Linked DNA regions of Schizosaccharomyces pombe. The protein of the gene in region 2 purifies or fractionates together with the protein of the main gene of each other region. This does not show direct contact. Each region holds a gene or a part of one and is shown on either strand. Other genes may lie near its edges.

Evidence for each region.
Region 1: the proteins of csx1 (region 2) and cip2 purify together in Schizosaccharomyces pombe (affinity purification with mass spectrometry, with the first as the bait; one study listed by BioGRID). This does not show direct contact.
Region 3: the proteins of csx1 (region 2) and cip1 purify together in Schizosaccharomyces pombe (affinity purification with mass spectrometry, with the first as the bait; one study listed by BioGRID). This does not show direct contact.

What each region holds. Positions count from the first base shown.
Region 1 is NC_003424.3:340,744-348,154, forward strand, and holds cip2 (RNA-binding protein Cip2), read right to left. Parts: upstream 4,429-7,411; 5' UTR 4,387-4,428; coding exon 2,656-4,386; 3' UTR 1,347-2,655; downstream 1-1,346. Other genes in the region: protein Mcp60, read right to left, coding at 1-1,112; efg1 (rRNA-processing protein), read right to left, coding at 5,096-5,308, 5,371-5,501, 5,564-5,696, 5,801-5,875; GATOR2-SEACAT complex ubiquitin-protein ligase E3 subunit Sea4, read left to right, coding at 6,452-7,411. UniProt on the Schizosaccharomyces pombe protein: Regulates global gene expression after oxidative stress. Interacts and stabilizes mRNAs and may regulate their transition between different cytoplasmic components after oxidative stress.
Region 2 is NC_003424.3:3,568,004-3,575,077, forward strand, and holds csx1 (RNA-binding protein Csx1), read right to left. Parts: upstream 4,343-7,074; coding exon 2,444-4,342; 3' UTR 2,004-2,443; downstream 1-2,003. Other genes in the region: spliceosome complex disassembly protein Ntr2, read right to left, coding at 264-1,089, 1,138-1,223, 1,289-1,365, 1,440-1,536; SPOM_SPAC17A2.10C (uncharacterized protein), read right to left, coding at 6,992-7,074. UniProt on the Schizosaccharomyces pombe protein: Regulates global gene expression after oxidative stress. Interacts and stabilizes atf1 and pcr1 mRNAs after oxidative stress, thus controlling their turnover.
Region 3 is NC_003423.3:4,260,052-4,266,599, reverse strand, and holds cip1 (RNA-binding protein Cip1), read left to right. Parts: upstream 1-2,522; 5' UTR 2,523-2,654; coding exon 2,655-4,127; 3' UTR 4,128-4,782; downstream 4,783-6,548. Other genes in the region: SPOM_SPBC16A3.17C (transporter), read right to left, coding at 1-1,041; NuA4 histone acetyltransferase complex subunit Eaf7, read left to right, coding at 5,281-5,437, 5,528-5,661, 5,724-6,251. UniProt on the Schizosaccharomyces pombe protein: Regulates global gene expression after oxidative stress. Interacts and stabilizes mRNAs and may regulate their transition between different cytoplasmic components after oxidative stress.

The DNA.
Region 1 (7,411 bases), 3.2 Mb from region 2:
ACATGGTCACCAGCACCTTTCATAATGATAGTGTCTTCCTTGGTGACAGTTACAGAGCCACAGCTACCCAAATGATGGGGTTGAGCCTTTTCGATGGAAACATCAATTTCATCATTGAACACGGCACTATCAGTCAAGACGGCTAAATCTCCAAGCATATTACGACGGTTGTCACCAAAGCCAGGGGCTTTAATAGCAACAACTTGTAATTGCCCACGAAGCTTGTTTAAGATACAAGCAGCCAAAGCTTCACCATCAACGTCCTCTGCGATGATAACTAAGGGACGACGCTGCTGAGCGGCAAGCTCCAAAGAGGGAAGAATGTCTTGGACAGCAGACACTTTCTTTTCAGAAAGAAGAATAAGAGGATTTTCAAATTCAACCTTTTGTGATTTGACATCGGTAATAAAGTAAGGAGAAATGTAACCACGATCAAACTTCATACCCTCAGTAACCTCTAATTCGTCGCTTATTGTGCGCCCTTCTTTGACGGTGATAACGCCTTCTTTACCAACACGTTCCATGGCTTTAGCAAGAAGCTCACCGATATGAGTGTCACCGTTAGCAGAGATGGTAGCGACTTGGGAAATCTCTTCAGAAGTAGTAATATCACGCTTATTGGCTTGCAAAAATTCGACGACGTTATCAACAGCAAGTTGAATTCCCCGGCGAAGGTCCATAGGGTTGCAACCGGCAGCCACGTTACGAACAGTCTCAGAAAAGATGGCACGAGTTAAAACAGTAGCAGTAGTGGTACCATCACCAGCAACTTCATTAGTCTTGCTTGCAACATCCTGAACTAGTCTTGCACCAAGGTTTTCGAATTTATCTTTCAAACTTACACTACGGGCGACAGTTACACCGTCCTTAGTGATTTTAGGGGAACCAAAAGGTTGGTCAATCAAGACATTACGGCCCTTTGGTCCCAAAGTTACAGATACGGCACGAGCAAGAGTATCGACACCGGTGAGTAAAGATGCGCGAGCATCAACACCAAATTTTAAGTCTTTAGCATATGTACGAACTTGAGGGACGGCAAATCTGCCGGGGATTCGACGACCAGCAATTCTTAAAGGTAGACGAGATACACTGGAAGAAAGGAAGCTCACCATTATGTTTAATTAATGAAATAAAATGAAGTTGTAAAAAATGGTTTTTTTTAATGCACCCAAAAAGAGATATAAAGAAATGTAAAGTTATCTAACGCAAATACAACCCACACGTTAGGAATATAACCAGCTAGCTGTCCCTGCAAAAATAAATGCTTGCAGCTTTTAGATATATTATTGGTTTTAAAATACGTGAAATACTCTTCACTATTTTCCGCTTAATGAAATTCCAAACAAGGCTAGGCAGACGATAAGTTAGCTATAATAGACATTATATATACTGTGACTGCCTGATATTCTAGAAAGAACTTTGATGGGATAAAGATTGACATGCCGGCAAATAGCCAATAGAAAAGCGACCAAATTTTAAGAATAGGTTTGGTAGCTTCTTGAAGAAAAATATCGAAAAATAGTGTATTGCATTGTTTATCGCTAAACGGCTTCTAAAAAATTAAAACATATAGAGCAAGAACGGGGAGCGTTTTCATTTAGTCGATTTACAGTCATTAAAACCTCTAAAAAAAATGCGGTGCTCGACTATGGTCAATGTGCCGTTTCTTCGTGATTATTCAAATAAGAAAGATCAACTCAATTTATCAAATTAAAAAGTCGTAAATGTTCTATACTTATTTAAAAAGTAATACTAAACGATACAGCAGATACGAGATACGTTTAGACAAAATCATCAAGTATCCACTAAAAACAGTGCGAAAAAAAATAATAATAACAAAAAAAAAATAGTGCAATCATATCTTGACGAAAAAAATCATACAAATGACAACCGAACTCTCATAATCGAAATTGAATTCTTTAACACATTATCAAATCAATAACACGGAAAAGAATTTAGGCACAATTAGCCAAACAGCCATTAAAATGAAGCCATCATTCGTAATAGTTAAAAACCGAGTGACACTAACGTGAACAAGCTGGGTCCGTACAAAACATATGAGATATAGAAATTGAAAAGGTATTGATAGTAACGAAAGGTCCTACACATAAGAACAAAACACAATCAAAACAACAAATTATTGCAAATAACACCATTAACATCCCACGTAAGATCGGTTATCGTAAATTTTATTTGAGACTTTTGCTGTATAGCTCAAGCATCGTATCCCAGTATACGAATCGTCAAACCGGATTTGCGATACAAAAGTTTAAAAAAATCTCACAAAAGAAAATTCCATTTTATTCCTCTCAAAATAATCATAAACGTGACTTTGAAGAGAGAAAAATATCATCTATTAAATTAAATCCTTTTCGTTTTACAAGAATCACATTATAGTTTAAAAGCATGAGCCCGATCACATGCACATCCGAAGTGAGTATGTAAACGATATAAGCATGAAAATCATGTCCTCAATTGAACACTAGGTCGTAAAAATGGATAATTCATTGAGATAATTTCACTCGTCGTTTTTATGTACAAAGTATAAATTTGCTTGAAAGCGCTTATTATCGTAAGGTAAATGAAACTTAATAAAACCCGAGACATAGCCAAAACAAGATTAATCAAAAGCAGGGAAAAACAAAAAATCCAAGACTAATTCTTTGTAAAAGTTCTGGATCCAATAGCACCGGTGTTTGATGGAGTAAGGCTTGCAAAATAATCGTTCATCGCACTACCGTTTAAAGTATTTGATGAATTAGTCGCATTGCGATCCAGTGGAGAGGAAACATTTAAATTAGCAAAAGGAGTAGCAAGTTCTAACGGAGTAGCTGGCATACTACGTATGTCGGAAAAGGCTTTAGAATCATTTAGTCCTCTGAGAGAACGTATGCTATCCGCAAGATGCATAGAGGGAGCGGGTCGTCTAAGACTTGAAAAATTACTAGAAAGACCACCGGACGAGAAAAGACCATTGTCAAATAAACCAGAGGAGCTCAAGTGATTTGCAAGACTTGGTTGGCTCAAATTGGAAGCACCTAAAGAAGAAGGATTTAAAGTACTGGCGTTTGGGGCCATCAAAGGAGAGTGGTTAGCACTCGAATTATTAGCGGGAGTAAAATGAGTACTAGGCATGGTAATAACCACTTGCTTAGCTTCACCGTCACCAGTAACTGAATGATTGAGATTGAGACGGGAAGCTAATAAGGCAGCAACCCGACGTTCTTCCTGGGTGGTTGAAGAATCAAATACAAGATCATTAGTGTTATCGCTGCGATAATAAAATAACAAGATATGAGAATATACATTGAGTATAGCTGGATCATTCAAATCAAAATCAATGCCAGCACCTATATTGGCAACAGAAAACGGAGATTTCAATTGATTTTTTCGTTCTTCTACAGCGCGTTTCTCTTGTTTACCACGCTCAACACGTTCACGCTCCGCAGGCGGTAGTTGACGCTTCCATTCAACACGAAGACGACGACCAGTAATTTCATAGCCATTCAAAACTTGCACAACCGTTTTGGCTTCCTCTGGAGAATGGAAATTAGCAAAGGCAAGGCCCCTAAAAACTCCGTTATCAAAATGATAATTAAAAGCGTATGGACGTGGGATGTCTAATGCAGTGAACACTTTAAACAACACTTCTTTCTTCAAGGAGAATGGAATATTTTTAATAACAATCGCGGTAGGAATGGTCTCTTCATCAGGTTCAGGGGGTGCCGTCAAAGTTACAGAGTTGCTCATACCTCTAGACAGAGCAGTGCTAGAAGCTGAGTTTGGTACATGTGAATGGGATGGTTCGTTGAATGCATTTAAACTATCAAAAGGGTATGTTGTTGAGGAAAGTAATGAGGTAGTAGCAGGTCCAGAATTTTTGAGTACATCTAAAGCACTTGCAGACCGGAGAGAAAGGCCTGCTGAATTAGTTGCTTCTTTCCAAGCAGTTTGAAGACGAGTTCGACGAGGCTTTGCAGATGGATTATTGGCAGTTGAAATTTCAGGATCCAGCATTTGTTTAAGGGAACTTGGTAAAACCGTAGAAGAACCATCACCCAAACCATCATCTGCATTGTTGTGGGAAAATATGCCAGACCCTCCCATTCCAGCACTGTTAACGGCTGCATCAGAAAACGTAAACTTATCACGACCATATCGGTTCTCGAGATATCCTGATCCTCCAGGAATATTAAGACCTCTCATTTCTTCATCTTGAGCTCCATTTAATTCATCTAATTTGGGGAAAAAGTTGGACCGTTTTCTACGCAGAGATGCAGCCTCAGAATGGAAAGTTAAAGGGGAAGAAGCAGGAGAAAGAGTATTAGTTGACAAAAATGCCTGCGACAAAGGCGTTAATGGCCTTTGGCTTGTGCCCTCAGCCATATCGACACTAAACAAGTCGTAACTTCGTGTGGTGCGGAGGTTAGGTATCCGTGGACACCACCAAGGGCGCAAAGTCAATATACTACACCATATTATTGAGGTCTTAAACCCATAAATTCAAATATACCAATCTATAGAAGCAAATGTAAAAATAATTATTATAAAATGTATATACTACATACTGGTGTTGATTTTTAAACCCCCACTAGGTAACTTTTTGCCAGGCAAATAACAGGGTACTGTGATGATAAAACCGAAAGTCCATCTAAGAGCTCTTAAAAACACTGCTGCAATGATAAAGACTATTAAACTGTCTAATAATTCGACCACCTAAAACAGAACAAAATGAAAGTCCTAATTTTTTGTTTTTACTTAAATTCTTGTAAATTTATATTTTTATTAATTTGATATTCCATGAAATATCATTCGAATTTTAGCATATTAGATTATAGAATGAAATATGTGAAAAATATCTTCAGTGAACCTTAGGATCCAAAAGCTTCTCTCCCACAAGTTCTATTTTTGGTACCCTAGCAAATCCCATTGCAATATGACATAGAAAAAATTTAAATAAACTTGCATAAAAAGAATACCTTGCTCGATAACTCATATGGAAACTTCACAACCTTTATTAAAAAGAATGAATCATATTATTACAGTTTCGTCTATTTAATCCCTTTATTTCCAAAACCTCAATCCAAGTTTTCATTTATCTTTGCAAAAATTCATCTTCCAAATCACCACCAGTTGAACTTTTTTCCTGTACAGGAACCCTGTTGGAACCTGAAGATGGTATTTTGTGTTTTCTGCCACTATTAAAGCGTTCTTCCATCTCGGCCCAAATGCGATTTCGAGTTTCTTCGGTCTGTTCAGATGTGCCTTCTGCGTAGAGTGAAACATACTTTGTTAAAGGGGGGTATTCCTAAATAGGTTAGTATCTTAGCCAAGTTGATAGTTGAAATGAAGTCGAAAATACAAACATACTTTAATATACATAAGATCAATTTGACATTTACGCATCGATTTCTCACACTGCTTGCGTTTCTCATCATCCATAGTTTCATCCTTCAAAGATTTTTCCAATTGTTTAATACGTCGTTCTGCTTTTTTACGTTCTGAGAAAATCAGTAAGCAAGTTCACTGAACAAAAAATGCTGTTTTTATATATGTTTCATACCAAAAAATCGAACTTTTTTGTATCTTTCAAAAATCTTTTGCTTTTTATGCTCTAACTGTGCCATAGACAACTGCTCTTGTAGACCCAAAAGAGCTCGTTCATGTTCAACACGAATGTTTGCAGGCAAATTCTCCTTAAAGGAAGTTAGTTTTCTTATTCATTAACATAAAAAGGAAGGTAATATTTATTACACACTGAAACCGCAGATGTTTTTAAACCAGCAAAAAAATTACACACCTTTTTCAATAATCTCTCATTGTCGCGAATTTTTTTCTTCAGCACAGAAAGTCCAGGGCCCTTAAATTTTGGCATGCTAAAACGCTCAATAAAATAGATAAATAGAAATTCAAACCATAAACAATTAGTTCTGGTGAAGAACAGTAGTAAACTTAAAGGACTGCAATTTTTACAGCTGCTAGGTTCTCAAGTGACACGTTACTTTTATATATAAGTTTAAGCTGGTAATTATGATTAAAATATTTGATTCACTCACACTTATTCAAGGTAGATTTATATGTTGTACTTGTGGAGTGATTTAAAAGCTTAGACTTTCAACAGTACATCAAAGAATCGCTTGTTCGACACCGAAGTCACCCTAGAGATTAAAAAGTATGCAAAAGATAGTTAATCTAGCAACCGGTCTGTATTTTAATACTACTATTGTTAAGAGAATCATCAATAGCAAAAAGAAAACCTTTGAATTTGACAGCCTCTTTTCAGTCCGTTGTTAAGGCATTTCTGTTAGCTATCGTTAAGCAAATTAGTGCTAAACGTTATGTTTGACGAGTGGTTGAGATTGAAGAACGCTTCGATCAAGCTCTGTTTAATGTTTATGCAGTATTTTGGGCGTTTCTGGTAAAGCCTAATTGTCAAATTTCTCTTTAGAGAATGTTAAATAGAAGTAAAAAGAGGAATGGCTGTTATTTTTGGGTTAACGGCTCCTCAGATGAGATTCGATATGTCGCCGTCAAAGCTTCCCCTAAAGTAAATTGGAAAACTCACATTATTTGGAGATCATTGAAAAATGTTAAATGTATAGACTCTTTTCACGGAAACAATGAAATATTGGGTGCTGGTTCTTCTACCGGAAATATATCATTGCTTTCTGTTAAGCATCCAGAATTTCAAGCAGTAGTAACACCTGGATATGCTCGCCCTTGCAATAGTTTGGCATTTTCTGAAACTGAACATCTTGTTGCTGGATTTGCAAAATCTCGAAACGAGTCTTCCTTGAAGTTATGGGACTTGAATTCATTACTGTCTGACCCGAAGAGTAGTCCCTTAATGCAGTCTTCTACTCTAGACGGAGTTTCTTCCGTTTGTTATAAGAAAGACACTCCTCTTTTGCTTACCGGATCAACTTCGCGTTCTGTCCATATAATTGATACTAGGCAGCAACTAGACTCAGTTTCTTCCGTCAATACGCAATATTATAGTAATATAGTTGTTGATCCATTTTCTCCTAACTATTTTGCCGCAAATTCTTATGATGGTGACATTGCGATTTTTGATACTCGATACTTCAAATCCGATAATTATTTACAAATTATTTTACGGAACGAAAATAAAAAGCCCAAAAATCCACAATTATTTGCACTGAAATATTCTGAATGGAAACCTGGACAATTGGCTGTTTTGTCAAACAATTCGATTACACTTCGTCAATTATTGCCTTGTGTCAATGGAAATGAAGGATCCGCAAATAATTCTGTCTTTGTAAATTATGAGAAGAAATATCCTGTTAAACCAAATTCACAATGTTCTGGCATTGATTTTTTTACTCCTTCTACAGCCTTTCCAACTCATGTTCAAATTTTGGGTGTCATAAACGAACAACCGAAACTTTTT
Region 2 (7,074 bases):
GATAAAGCTAATGAAATCTTCTAGCAATTAATATCTATTATCTCCATAAATATCGGGTCATTATTTTTTTGTAATTCCCGGTGACTTCTTGGCACTGTTTTTCTATTTCAACAAGTCACCGATGGGCTGTAACAGCTAATTAATACTGTACAAGGATAAGAGTTCTGTAAGAAATGTAAATCTAAGTTATAGCGTTAAGTAAATTTATCGACCATGTCTTTCTTCTTTGTTTTTTTTTTATCAATTAAAAAATCCAAAGTAAATCAGGATTTGCTTTTGGTAAGGTTGTTCAACAAAGTTTTATCTAAATCAATGAAAGAATGTTTAATCTTTTCCTCTTGTTCATTAATCTCGAGTTCTTCTTCCATAAGTGATTTAATAATCTGTGAACGCTCCTCCTGCTGAAGCTTCTCAGAAGCTATTGCTTCTTTTAGCCGCTGAATTTGTTCATCCATTGTAAGAATATTAGGAAGCTTCACAGAAAGTCCATTTGTAAAAGCAGGAGATTCTCCAAAGGCACCTTTCTTGATTTGAGTATGTTCCCATGATTGGATGGGCTCTGCTATGTCTTCATCGTCCAATTCCATCTCCATATTTTTCTGGTCGACGGCCATTTGAATTGATCGTGTCCGTAAACTTTCCGAGCTATGGTGGTATATTTCTTGAAGTTTTTCTGACTCCTCCACGTAATTTTCAAATCCAGAGTAACCTTCATCTTGAATTTCGTCTTCCGTTTGAAGCAATTTCTCTTCTTTATGATTTTGTGCCAACATCAGTTGGTCCCCTGTTTCAAGTGAAATGTAATTATCCGTCATCATGGCAATGTTTCTCTTTCTTCCTTCTCGATCCTTTAACTCCTTAATCATTGCTTCCTCAGGAATGCCTTGATTAAGCATATTCCATTCCAAACTAGTATTAACGGGTAAAGGAGGTGACGATCTTGTTTGCAATTCGCTTTCTTTGGTCGAGGAATCCTCCTCCTTCTTTGTAAATTCTGATGGTGTCTGCCTACTTTTTCTCTTTAACTCATCCACATAAGCATTGGAGTATCCACTTTCATGCGAGAGAGCATCCATTCTTCGCGATATTCTTTATTAATTAGATAACTAATACTTGGACTTAAAACATTTTACTTACAAATCATCAACCGAATGAAAAGAGCTTTGCTTTTTTACCTTTGGAATCAAAGGGATTTGAGAATCCTCCCCATCGTCGTCTCCTTCCTAATCAATGTTTGTTAATATAACAGATGAATTGGTAAAACGTTTTCCAGCAAAAAACAACTTACCTCGTTCTCATATTTCACCCTAAATTTTCCCGAATTTTTTTCTTTCGCTTTTGTTTTTCTTCTATTTGCATTTTTGTCTAAGCATTGTTAGTACACTTGCGATAATAAGTTCTATTCGAGCCCAAGCACTTTTGCGCTTTTAAGTTCTTACTTGATTGAGAAACGTTTAAATTTTCTTCATGCTTTTCTTCCTCATTGTCGCTCGTTTGCACGATTTTAGGCTTCGCCTTTTTTAAGTATCGTCGCATGTTGGTAAATGGGTGCTACTTTCTAGGCAAACATATTTCTACCAATCTTTCATATTGAATAGCTATTTTTGTAAAAAAAAAATCATATAAAGTCTTAATTAAAATGATGTTTTTATGTTCTGTGAAAATTAGAAAGGGATAAACATAAATGTCTTTACTTGGGCATTTAATATTATGGCACATACTGAAGAGGTGCATCGGATAATGCAAAGCATCAGAAAAGTATTTGTTCAATTGACTTACATTTTTTTCGACTAATTTTAGAGAAATGTGTTTGAAATTCAAGTTTCAGATTTAAAACTTTTAATTGAAAAGCTACAATCGACAAGCTACCAATATCTACTACAGTCACTGGAAAATTTCCATTATATAAGTTGAAAACAAAAACAATGCTTTTAATTATTTAGAAAATCAGAAGAAAAAATAACAAAATTATTTTTTGGAAAGGACATTTTAAAATAAAACATATAAATAACTCATCGATCCAAAAAAAAGATTTGGACGTTTGAAAAACCTCAATGGAAGTTTTCATGTACATATGTGCATTAAGGAACAACAGCAATGAAAGAAAAATAAAACAATCATAAATAAAACAATCCTTGGCACAAATAATATTCAACAGTTATAAAAAACATCACAAGAGAGATTTAACATACAAGAATAAAAACAAAACAAAATAAAAAAAATCACGAGAGCACCCTTCAGTTCTTTAAGACATTAAACTAACTTGATCAGGAGCCCTCGAAAACTTATACGGATGCCTTTGAAAAACGAAAATAAATAAAAAATTAAAACAAAAACATTAGAAATAAAACAAGAATATTCGGGAAATCCCTTCACTTAAGAAGAGAAGTGGAAGAAACAAATAGTAGTAGTAGTAATGCATTTCAAACATCATAAAAATAATTTATGAATCGCGTGACAAGCGTAGAGAAGGTTGCAAGTATTGACCAGTACAATTAAATGTAGAATAAGAACGAGGAGGCAAGCGACCTCTCAAGTTCAAACCAAAGCCGGATTTCTCCAAACCGTTTTCATTTTGCTCCAACTCATGACGGAGATCAATTAGTGAAGACTGACGCTCCCTTCCTAGGTTCCAAGGCCTAGAAGCTCTCGCTTGAAATGCTGAACCATTCAAAGAAGCAGGTTGCTCATCATCAACCAACTTTAAGGAGGAAACACGTGTTAATAAATCTTGAGTAGCAAAGGAGTTATGATTGTTGCCGGAAAAAGGCTGCAACCATTCGGGGAGCTTCACACTAGGCTGGACCTTTGCAGAACCATTAATTTTTGAGGATTGCAAAACAGAAGACTGAGGATACACCTGTCCGCCTACCAAGCCAGTGGCAGCTGAAGGGAAATGGGAAGAAAGAGGTGTCAAACCTGAGCCACTACCGGACAACGTAGGAGAAATGGAGGCTGAACGAGACAAAGGAGGTGGAGAAATGGTTGAAAAATTTACGGAGTTCATGCCATTGATTGAGGAAACAACGGAGTTTGGCAACAAAGATTGCGCAGCAGCAGTACGAGGTGAAACAGGTGCACTCTTCAAGCTAGAGCCGGATGAGTTTGAGCTGCCAGAGTTTGCTCCAATGACAGATTGATTCATACCGAAAATTTGGTTAGCGGAAAGAGTTCTGTCGAAGCCCTCATCTGAAACTTGGGATTGAGATTGAGACAAGGCAGATACAGGAAGCGTATTATGACCCCACGCGAGGCGGATATGAGAAGTACCAACTAAGGCACCCTGCATAGTGTTTATGGCCTTTTCAGCAGCAGATTTTTCACTGTACTGGACAAAGCCACATCCCTTGCCAAAGGGAATCTTGATGTTCAAAATTCTTCCAAAGGGCTGAAAGCAAACTTGCAAATCTTTCTCGGATAAATTGCTAGCCAAGCCACCGACAAACACCGTAGTGTTCAAAGGATCCATGCTACAAAGATCTTGATTAGGCTGGCGGTTAGAAGTAGAAGTAGGAACGATACCAAGGGCAGAATCGGCGGCGATGGAGGCTCTAGACTTTGGTGAAGCGACAGAGATGCGTAAGGGGCGACCTTGACACAAATAGCCCTGCATATGCATCAAGGCATGTTGTTGTTCTTTCTCACTTGAAAAGCGAACAAAGCCATATTTCCTGCTGAGACCGGTAACGGGATCGACAATGATCTTGGCTGAGGTACATGAGGGATATATGGAACGGAAAGTCATAAAAAGATCCGAATCCTCGGTAGTGGGAAGAAGGTCGCCAACGAAGATACTAAACTCAGGATCACGGGAAACAAAGTTGTTATGTTGAATGCCGCCACCAGTAGCCCAGTTAAGCTTGAAGGTACAGTGAGCACCAGGAATCATGGTGTTATTATACTTCATCAAAGCACGCTCAGCAGCTGCAGAAGAGGAAAACTGAACGAAGCAATAGCTGATAAGCGTTTCCGAAGAGGATGCTTTGGAGCGCATGACTTTAACGTTGACAGGTTCGTTGAGGGAAGCCCAGAGCTGTTGAATAAAAGTAGCGTCCATCCAAGGTTCCAGGTCACCCATCCATAAGGTGTCGCTCATTTTCGAGCCAACACCTGCTACATCTTGAAGTGGAGTGGAGCTAGGAGAACAGTTGAAAGGAGCCACAAGTCTCTCCAAAGTAGGAGAAACTAACTCTGATTTGCCCTCATCAACCACAGGGGAAATGGGGGCATTGACATCTGAATTAGAAGCTGACATTTTCGAGGTTGCTGGAATAGACGAATGCAAAGGGACGAAGGAAGTATCAAACAATGAAGAACGGCGATAAAGGCAGTCAATAGACATTTAAATAGATATCCAAAAAAAAGTAAAAGAAAGTAAGTAATATGAATGAACAACAAAGTTTCAATGAGACACAAAAGTCAAAAAACGTAACCAGTATAAGACAATGGGTGGTAGAATCTTTCAACGATGAACAAAATAAAGCTTAGCTTATAACGTACAGACAAATAAATCAAGGACGAAAAAGCGAGAGGTCTAAGAACTCTTGAGATGAAGAAATGCTAATAGAACAATCAAGAACAATTTAATAAAAAAAAAAAGAGAAATTTTTTTTGCTTGCGTAAAGTGTAACGGTAAGAGCAAAAAAAAAAAGATTCAGGAATAAAAGAAGTACTAAAACAAAGTGTTACAAAGATCGAGTATTAAAGAGGATTGGAAGAATAAAAATCAAAATCGATCTGAAATAAAAGGAAATTAATAAATGAGATGGTTTCGCGGTAAAAAGCTTGTTGAAGTGAAAATATAAAAAAAAAACACAGAAACAAAGTTATTCGATTGTTGATGAGACAAAAAGCGAAAATACAATCCTTAATGAGGCGTGAAAGAAAAATTCGTTAAAATCACTGAATGGGTACACGAAAAAGAAAACCTGATGGTTGTGATGAAGCAGGGTTCTTCAGTTTTTATTTTAAAAATAATAAAACAAGTAATACAATGTACGAAAGAAAAAGGAAACAACGATGAACAAGGTCTCTTCTGAAAATTATTAGGTATGAAGAATAAAAAAAAGAAAAAGAAACCAAAGGTTGGAAGAGAGAAAATAAAGAAAAGGAAAAAAGAAAATCGAGTCGAGTTAATCAATCACAGAAAGAGAAGAAGAAAAGAAAATAAAATAAAATAAAAATATATATATATGTGCAATAAAAAACGAAGGAACCTGACAGGGGGGACAGAAGTGTTTTCTTTGATGAAGTTAAAGAACAACAGCAACAATGACAAATATATATATATATATTATATTATATTATATATTATATAAATATAATATATATACAATGCAGGAAAAAGAGGTGTCCGTATATTATAGGTTTATATATATATACTGTGCAGTATATGTATGTTATAATATATAAAGAACAAACGAATCCTTTTGATATCGAGTAGTCCTTTTTTTCGCTAGTGATATAGCTAAATAGGAGGATACGGTATGCGAGGAAGTAAAAGGGAAAATTTTCCTTCTCGAGAAAGGTAGAGTTTGAAAGAGACGAGAAGAAGAATGGAAAAAAGATACCAAAAGCAGTCAGTAATATATAACCAAGTAAGGAATCTGCAAAAAGGTACGGAAAATTTAGAGGGAACGATAGAGTAGGGAAGAGGAGAAATCGTTCAATAGGGGAAAAAGAAGAAAAATGAAAAAAAAAGTGGTGATAGGATAGAACGCTGGAATGCTAGAGGAATTCGGTAAAATACAAATAAATAAGTCACGCAGCGAAAAAGAGAAAAAAAAAGTACAACCGGTTCCGAATGCAAAGCGAAGCAAAGCAAAGTAAAGGAAAGAAAGGATGAACCGTTGGGAGACGAGTGAAAAGTAAAAGTGAATGGGAGAGAGTAGGAGCGTGTCCAGACTAGGCAAGCACTTTAAATAGCGAGACCTTAAAAACGTATACACACAACAAGGGGGGTACGGTGTGTAATAAACACAAATGAAGTATGGGCTATGCAATCAGCTAGGCAACACAAGACAAGCAAGGCGAGGGAAAGTGGCGAAATCCCAAGAGAGCAATAAGGATGCGTAGCGAGGAAAAAAAGCGAGACAGCGATGCGCACCGGTACCGAAAACCAAAGTCCGAAAAATGGATGTAAGATTTACGAGGTTAAGAATCGAAAGAGGACAAGGGAGAGAGACAGAGAGAGCACAAGGCAGTAGAGAGAGTATGTGCGTGAGAGAGAGAAAATCAGGTAAGGATTGATGTGGGAGGATGGTGAGCGAAAAAAAAAAGCAAACCACCGAGAAATGGGTCTAGAAAAGAAACCGTTGCAAAGGAAAGAAAAGGAAATCGAATGAAATCGATTGAATGAATAGGAAACTTGGCTGGACTTTTTAAATAGTTAGCCGAGTGTTGCTAAAAGCGGTGAATGATGTGAAAGTGAGAAAGCGAATAAAAGAATAAAAAAGAAAAGGATGAAGAAAAGTGCAAGACTTTTCTTGGGGGGTTTGTTGATAAGGCAGTGTGTGATGGAATGGAAAGAGAGGGAGAAAAGTGCTTTGTTTGAAAGATAAGTAAACGAAGCAACAAACAAAACAAACTAAACTAACCGAACCGAGCAAAAGAAAAAAAAAATTACACAACAACCACAAAAAGTAAAGACACTAGGAGAGAGTAGCAAAAGCTTACAAAAACAAGTGGTTGAAAAAAGGAAGAAGACAAGAGTAAATTAGAATATACTGGATAGGCAAAAAAAAAAGAAAAACTCCCTAAAAAAAACACACAAGGGGTATTAAACGAAGTTTGTATGTATGTAGTGAAACAAAAAAAAAAAAGGAAGAAAACCGAGAAAAGCGGCGTTAACGGTGTTACGGAATTAACGGGGCGTTTGACGGTAATGAAAGTAAGTAGTAATAGTAGTACCAGTAATAGTAATAGTACTAGTAGTAGTAAAAAGGTAAGTGAATAAGAACCGGTTTAAAAAAAAATAGGAAAACAATACGATTCAACAAACACACGGCAAAGAAGCAATTTTACGGAATGAGGTGAATGCGAAAGGAATTAAAACGCGTCTTTTTTTTTGTAAAC
Region 3 (6,548 bases), on a different chromosome or scaffold from region 2:
AACAGCATTTCTTTTCGTAAAAGTATCATATATAAAAGCAAATACAAATAAACAACCGCCAATAATAAGATAACATAGGATATTAGCACGGCGCCATTTCCCCGATGATGCACCTAAAGAAATTCCCAAAAGAATCAATACGATACCGGTTATCACACATACAAGGCCAATGAAGTCAAAAGTCTTCAAAAACTTTTTAAACGAAGTACGCTCACAAGGCAATAAATGCAAAAACACAACAATTAAGGCAGTTGCAATACCGCCACTTGGTAAATTAATAAAGAAAATCCATCTCCAAGTTGTTCTTTGACAAATTGCACCTCCAATAATAGGCCCTGCTACCAAAGCCGCACCCCAGGCAGTAGCCAGAATTCCACTATACATTGGTCTTGTGCGCAATGGGGTTATATCAGATATAATAATATTCACGAGAGAAATAATACCTCCTCCACCAAGGCCTTGAATGGCACGGCAAACGATTAGCCATATCATGTTTTGTGATGCACCACAAAGTGCACTACCCAGCATGAAAAAGAAAATGCAAATGTAAAGTACTATTTTTCTTCCAAGGATATTGCAAAATACACCGACAGCAGGAAGAACTGCGTTGGAAGCAAGGACATAGGCAGATCCAATCCATGATGAACTTGATGTATCATTAAAGTCTTCAGCTATAGTCGGCAAAGCAGTGGTGACAATTGTATTATCTAATGCAGCAAGAAACAAAGTAAGAATTAAGGCAGGAACCACTATTTTCATATTATTTTCTGGGATTAATTGTATATTGGTATCATCATCATTAGAAGCAGATTCTTGTTTAGAGAATTCAGTGGATTGCTTATGCACGTCAAGTTCATTCACTTTGTTTTCATCCGGAACTATGTCGGTTTCTTTAACTTCCTTTTCTTCATTGGAAGGATATGCTGTCAATATAAAAGGACTGGTGGTCTTTTTAAGGGATAGTCCATCTATTGAATTTTGCCCTTCAGCAGCATTTGTTTTAGAGCCGGAAAATGAGTTGTGAGATGAAGAACTAGACATTGCGTATAATTTATGCTCTTGAATAATAAAAATTTTTTAAACAAATGGCCGCTAGTTGAGATGGACGTTTTTTAGACAATTTTACAAATATTTTTAAGGGGGAGAATAAAGAAAAACAAAGACAAGTAAACAAGGAAATATCCTAATAATAAAGCACTAAAAACCCTATCCAAACGCTTATATATTCCTTATAGTCAAATTTCTCATTGTTGAGTCTTATGGTGATTAATTTGGTAAGCGGCTTGCTAGTGGTATTCAGTAAATTTTTATACAAATATGTGTCTAAGTGATTATCACGAAAATCAGACTACTAGCACAATAACATAATCCATCGAGATCTAATACAATTTAAATAAGGAGAAAAGTGAGAGATGTGACATATATTTGTATGCACACTGACAAATTGTTTTGCAGTATTTGCTTTCTCCGGTACGTCGCTCCCCCTTATAATGAACTTCTTTAGTAAGCAGGAGGAGCTTGAACGCACTTCTCAAGAGTGCATCCTTGTTGTCATTCTAGATATGGTTAAACGACAACATGCGAAATATATCAAATAGAAATTTGCGTGGAGATTCCGCGTATCTACAACAGCTTTTAGCCACGTGTCAATTACACGAACCAAGTTTGAAGTGGTAAGATTTCTAAAATGTAATAAGAAACGCAAAAGGAGGTTTTAAAAAGTAATTTTTCCTCGAAGTGTGATACTTGAGTACATTTCAAAAGAAATGGGTGTGCACGGTGAAGCCTTTAAAAGTCATCTAACGATAGTAATTAATGCTGGATGGAAATAGTTCTTAACGCTTAATATAAGTGGTTTTTATGAAATAGAATAAAAGGGAGGATCGCTGCAGCCGTCAATGTACAACAACATGGCACTTGCTTGACATTTTAACGACTCAGCGAACGTATAGTAAATAAGATTACTTCGATAATTAATAGGTGTCGGTTGAAATAACATTTCGTCTATTAGCGAATGAAGGATCGATAATAAAAGCATTCAAATATGCCTGGCATTGTACATTTCCATGATACGCCTTAAAACAAAATAGCAAGTCTGAAGTCAACAGGAACAGTATAGTAAAAAGAAATAGCAGAAAGGAAGAAAAGTTAAGCAATGCTCAAGTCTACTCGAATTTGGCTAATGGAGAGTCCAGCTGTCTACTTTTATTTATCTATACTCTTCTACAGCTGACAAGATACTCGTTTTCGGTAAGGCACAGCTAATTTAGATTACTCGTTTATCATGAGAGATAGCAAAAAAGCTAAGAACAGCTTCAATCGGCTTTTTACGTTCATACTGCTACTCAATATGTTCAGATTTATATTCCTATTAATTATTAACTGCCTTACTATTTACGCAAACAAGTAAGTATATTTTTTTTTGTGTATAGTAAAGTGTTTGCTGCTTTTCGTTGTATTTTGTTAAACAATTTGGTGTGCTACCGTGTGATGCTGCTGAAAGAGACGCTCAATTAATCCTTAGACTGAACTAGCATCTACAAGTGCAGTATTCTAAGGGGCAAATTACGGGAATTTCCTAGTCAATTTTCTCTGTTTTCACATATAACTTTTATTCCTCAGAATATATCTGGACTCGTTCCCCCGCATCTAGAATGCCTAATGAAATATTTCCCTGGAAAATTCGTGTGGATGAAAGTCGAGGATTAGCAGGTAATTCTGGGACGAAAAAATCAAATCATGAAGCATTATCAAGATTACAATCACCCTTGAATTCTCCTAAGCTACAGCCAATTGGTTCTCCTCAGGCTTCTAGGAAAACAAGCGGTTCCGGTTCGAGTGCTCCGCTGTACCCCAAATGGTCCGGTGCCCTTTCTCTTGCTAGTAGTCGTGCTGCATCGCCGGCTCCTTCTGATAGCTTTCCTACTTTTGGTTATTCTCAGCTTGGTGGGCTAGAAAATAGTTCTAAAGGTTCCGCGCTTTTTAACAGCGCCAATTCTATTGGAACTCCGTACCTCTCGTCCAGGAACTCAAATTCAGCAAATGAGGCGAGTGCTATGGCTTTCCACAATGTCTCTCCTCCTAGTGGTGCTGAATCTTCTTCAGAAAGTAAAAGCTTTTCTGCCAGTGGAAAAGGCAATAAAGCTGATACATCCGCAGAGCCTTCGTTGGATGCTTTTAACAGTACCCAAATCAAAGCAGGATCGACTGCCAATTCTAATTCAACACCGGTTGAACCCGGTGAAGATACCATTCCAACGGCTATTGTTGTGAAAAATATTCCTTTCTCGTTGGAGAAAGATACATTGTTGGATCATTTTAAGCAACTAGGTATTCCCAGACCTTATGCCTTTAATTATCACTATGACAATGGAATATTTCGAGGATTGGCTTTTGCTAATTTTTATCGTCCTGAAGAGGCTCAAGTTGTTGTGCAAACGCTTAATGGCTATGAAATTAATGGCAGACGTCTTCGTGTTGAATGGAAACGCCAATTACCAGCTGCAGAACGCGAGAAGGTGGAAAAAGCAAAGAAACGTCAAGCTGAAGAAAGACGTCGTAAACAGCAGTACAAGATGTTTGAAGTTAGCTTTACTGATCAAGGCTTAAATTTGAATGACACTGGTACCCTTGAAACTTATAGTAGACTTCTATTGTTTGCTCATCAATGCATTCCTTCTCGTGAAATAACATTTGAAACCACTTCTAAGGACGGAAACCTTCTAAATGCCATTAGAATCTTTTGCCTGTACTTTGATCTCGATTACTATGCTCGCCCGAATGGAGAGGTGTTAAAATTAGTAGTTACTCATCCGAATAAAAAGAATACGAGCGTAAGTCAGTCGCAACCTGCATCTCCAAATTTAAGATTTAATATGCCGGCACCGTTAGCTACTCGATTTTTGCAAGAGCATTCATTGAATGGTACTAAGAGTGCCCCTATAACCCCACCTCCCAGTTTCGCAGTACCATTGACAAACCAACTTCGTTCGATTGACGACAAAATTTATGGAAATGAATCACCGCTTCAAAAGGCTTCTACTTTGAGTTCACCTTTCAATTCAAAAAATGATAATGATGCTTCTACCTCCGCTTCCAAGCAGAGTTTTGGTGTCTCCCACTTTTAGAGTCTATGCAATTATAAAGAAACTGTTTATGTACCTTTTAAGATATGATTTTTGTTTACGCCAACTATAGATGCATTTACTATACGCTATTTGTTTTGACTAAATTTTGCTCTTTATCCCTTTATCACTTACTTCTGATGAATCTAAACTCTATGGGCTTCATTTTGTTGATTTTTTGTTTTCCCTTTCACATAGTTGGTTATCCAGCAAATAATCCTTTTAAATACTTAGAAGCTTATATTTTATCGTTTTGAATTCCCACGACACATTTGGACGACTCGACTTAACAGCAATCAATGATGGATATATGTTGGGTGAGGCATAATGTTTTATGACGATAATCAACGGATGAGCGATGCTCCTATTTTTTTACAAATTATAACGATTTTTCTTGTATAAGAAATTTATGCCCTACCGTATAATATACACATACTTTACATGATTAAATTTAACCTTGGACAAATACATTAGTCTGATATTACAAAATTGAACTTTTATTTTTGTAAATTTAATCATCTTCTTTATGTGGATGTGAATGTTCCTAGCTTAGTATTACCGTACTATGGATATAGAAATAAACCTACGATTTAAAGTCTATTTTCTACCAAGCTTGTAGGGCTTTAAATGAGCTACTTTAAAATTACCTAAAATATCGTTAAATTTTCCTATATAATGCGAATTGATTTATATGTAAAAAAGAAAAAGAAATTGCAAGCATGGTGGACTTTTAGTTCCATTGTTAGTAAGTTGTAATTAAAGGAAGTTACAAAGGATTCACTAAAATAAGAATACTTTATGGGTTATCGCAGCCTTACTCAATTACTGCACTTGAATGTCTATTGAATTTAAGAATGAAGAAAGGATAACACAAAGATGCACGATTCTTTTTGGATGAACTTTTATTTTTTGTTAAGGTTATGAAAAAAGATGAAATACACTTGACCTTGTAATTACTGCAGCTAGAAAAAGAAAATATTATAAAAACCAGTTTCATGAGTTATGGCTGGAAGTACCGCACAACACCATAAATATTGATAATCTGCTATATTGCCGATAATATAAAGTTAAATTAGTAGAAAAAGTAAACTAAGAAACAGAAATTTTCTTATTTTACCCATATAAACCTATGTATTAGAGGATAGCAATTGTATTTATGAGTTCGAGGGGAACAAGATCATCAACTGCTGCCGAGCAGAAAAGGCAGGAGGATGTAAATAAAGAATCAAATATGAATGATTCTGTTACTGAATGGTCTGTTTTAGAGGAAACCTTACTGTTAAAAGCTATTTGTCGTGGATTGCGCCCTGTAGGTAAGTGTTCGAAAGGTTAATTGCTCGGTCTCTTATTTTAAAAGCTGCATGTTATCAAATTATTGCATTCATTCACTAATTAAAAAATAGGAATAGAAAAAAATTTTTATATGATAGGGATTTTACGAGAAATTCGTGATGGCTGCAAAAGATCAACAATTAAGGCTCAGGACGTTTGGAATAAATTAGGAACACTTTATAATTTGAAAGAGTTTGAAGAATTGGTATGTCAAAAAGCCTTTTAATTTTTTGTTTTCAAGTATTTGTTGACAGTTTTTTAAATTAGGAAGCTCCAGGAAATGAAGAAGTTAAGGCGAAAGAAAAACGAATAAAGTCGCCAGATGTTAAAGATTTTAAATTACCAAAAGATATTCTTAAAGTAAAAGAAAAATCCGAGAAACCATTGGAAACATCTCAAAAAGTGGAGATTGAAACGGTAGAAACTAAACCCGGTGAACCCGAAGTTAAGCAGGAGACGAATTTACAGAAAGAGAAGAAGGAAAGTAAAGTCAAGCTTGAATCTAAAGAAGAGAAAATTTCTCGGAATTTACGATCCTCTTCTAGAAGTATTTCTCCTGTTACTGAACAGCCGCAAAGTCCAAAGATTCAGCCTGTTATTCCCGAAAAAAAAGAAAAGTCTGAAAAGAAAGAGAGTTCCATGACTTTGCGAAAAAGATCCGTCTCGCCATCTTCTCAAAATACAGCCCGTTCTCCAAAGCGTATGGCTACTGAGCCCATAGAGCCTGCTTCTTCACCGGCAGCTTCAAACCAAGCTATTCGCCGTAGCTCTCGAAGCCGGAGGCCTCCGACCTAGCTCTTGTTAACAGAAAAACCTAGGATGGGAAAGACTGATTATTTGTACATATCATTTATGCTTGGTCTACTCTAATGAACGGTTATTTATATATGAGACCAAAATTAATTATCACAAGGGATTTATAAAAAGTGAAAAATAAAAAGAATTATGATTTTACTACAACTAATATTTTGTATGTCAAGGAGATTTGTTTTAGCAGAATTATAGGTTTAATGGGATCGACGGCATGTCCAAAACTAATTTGCTTTTGCAGTTTTACTCCTTTTTGATGCTCGATTCACGTAATGGGAAAAG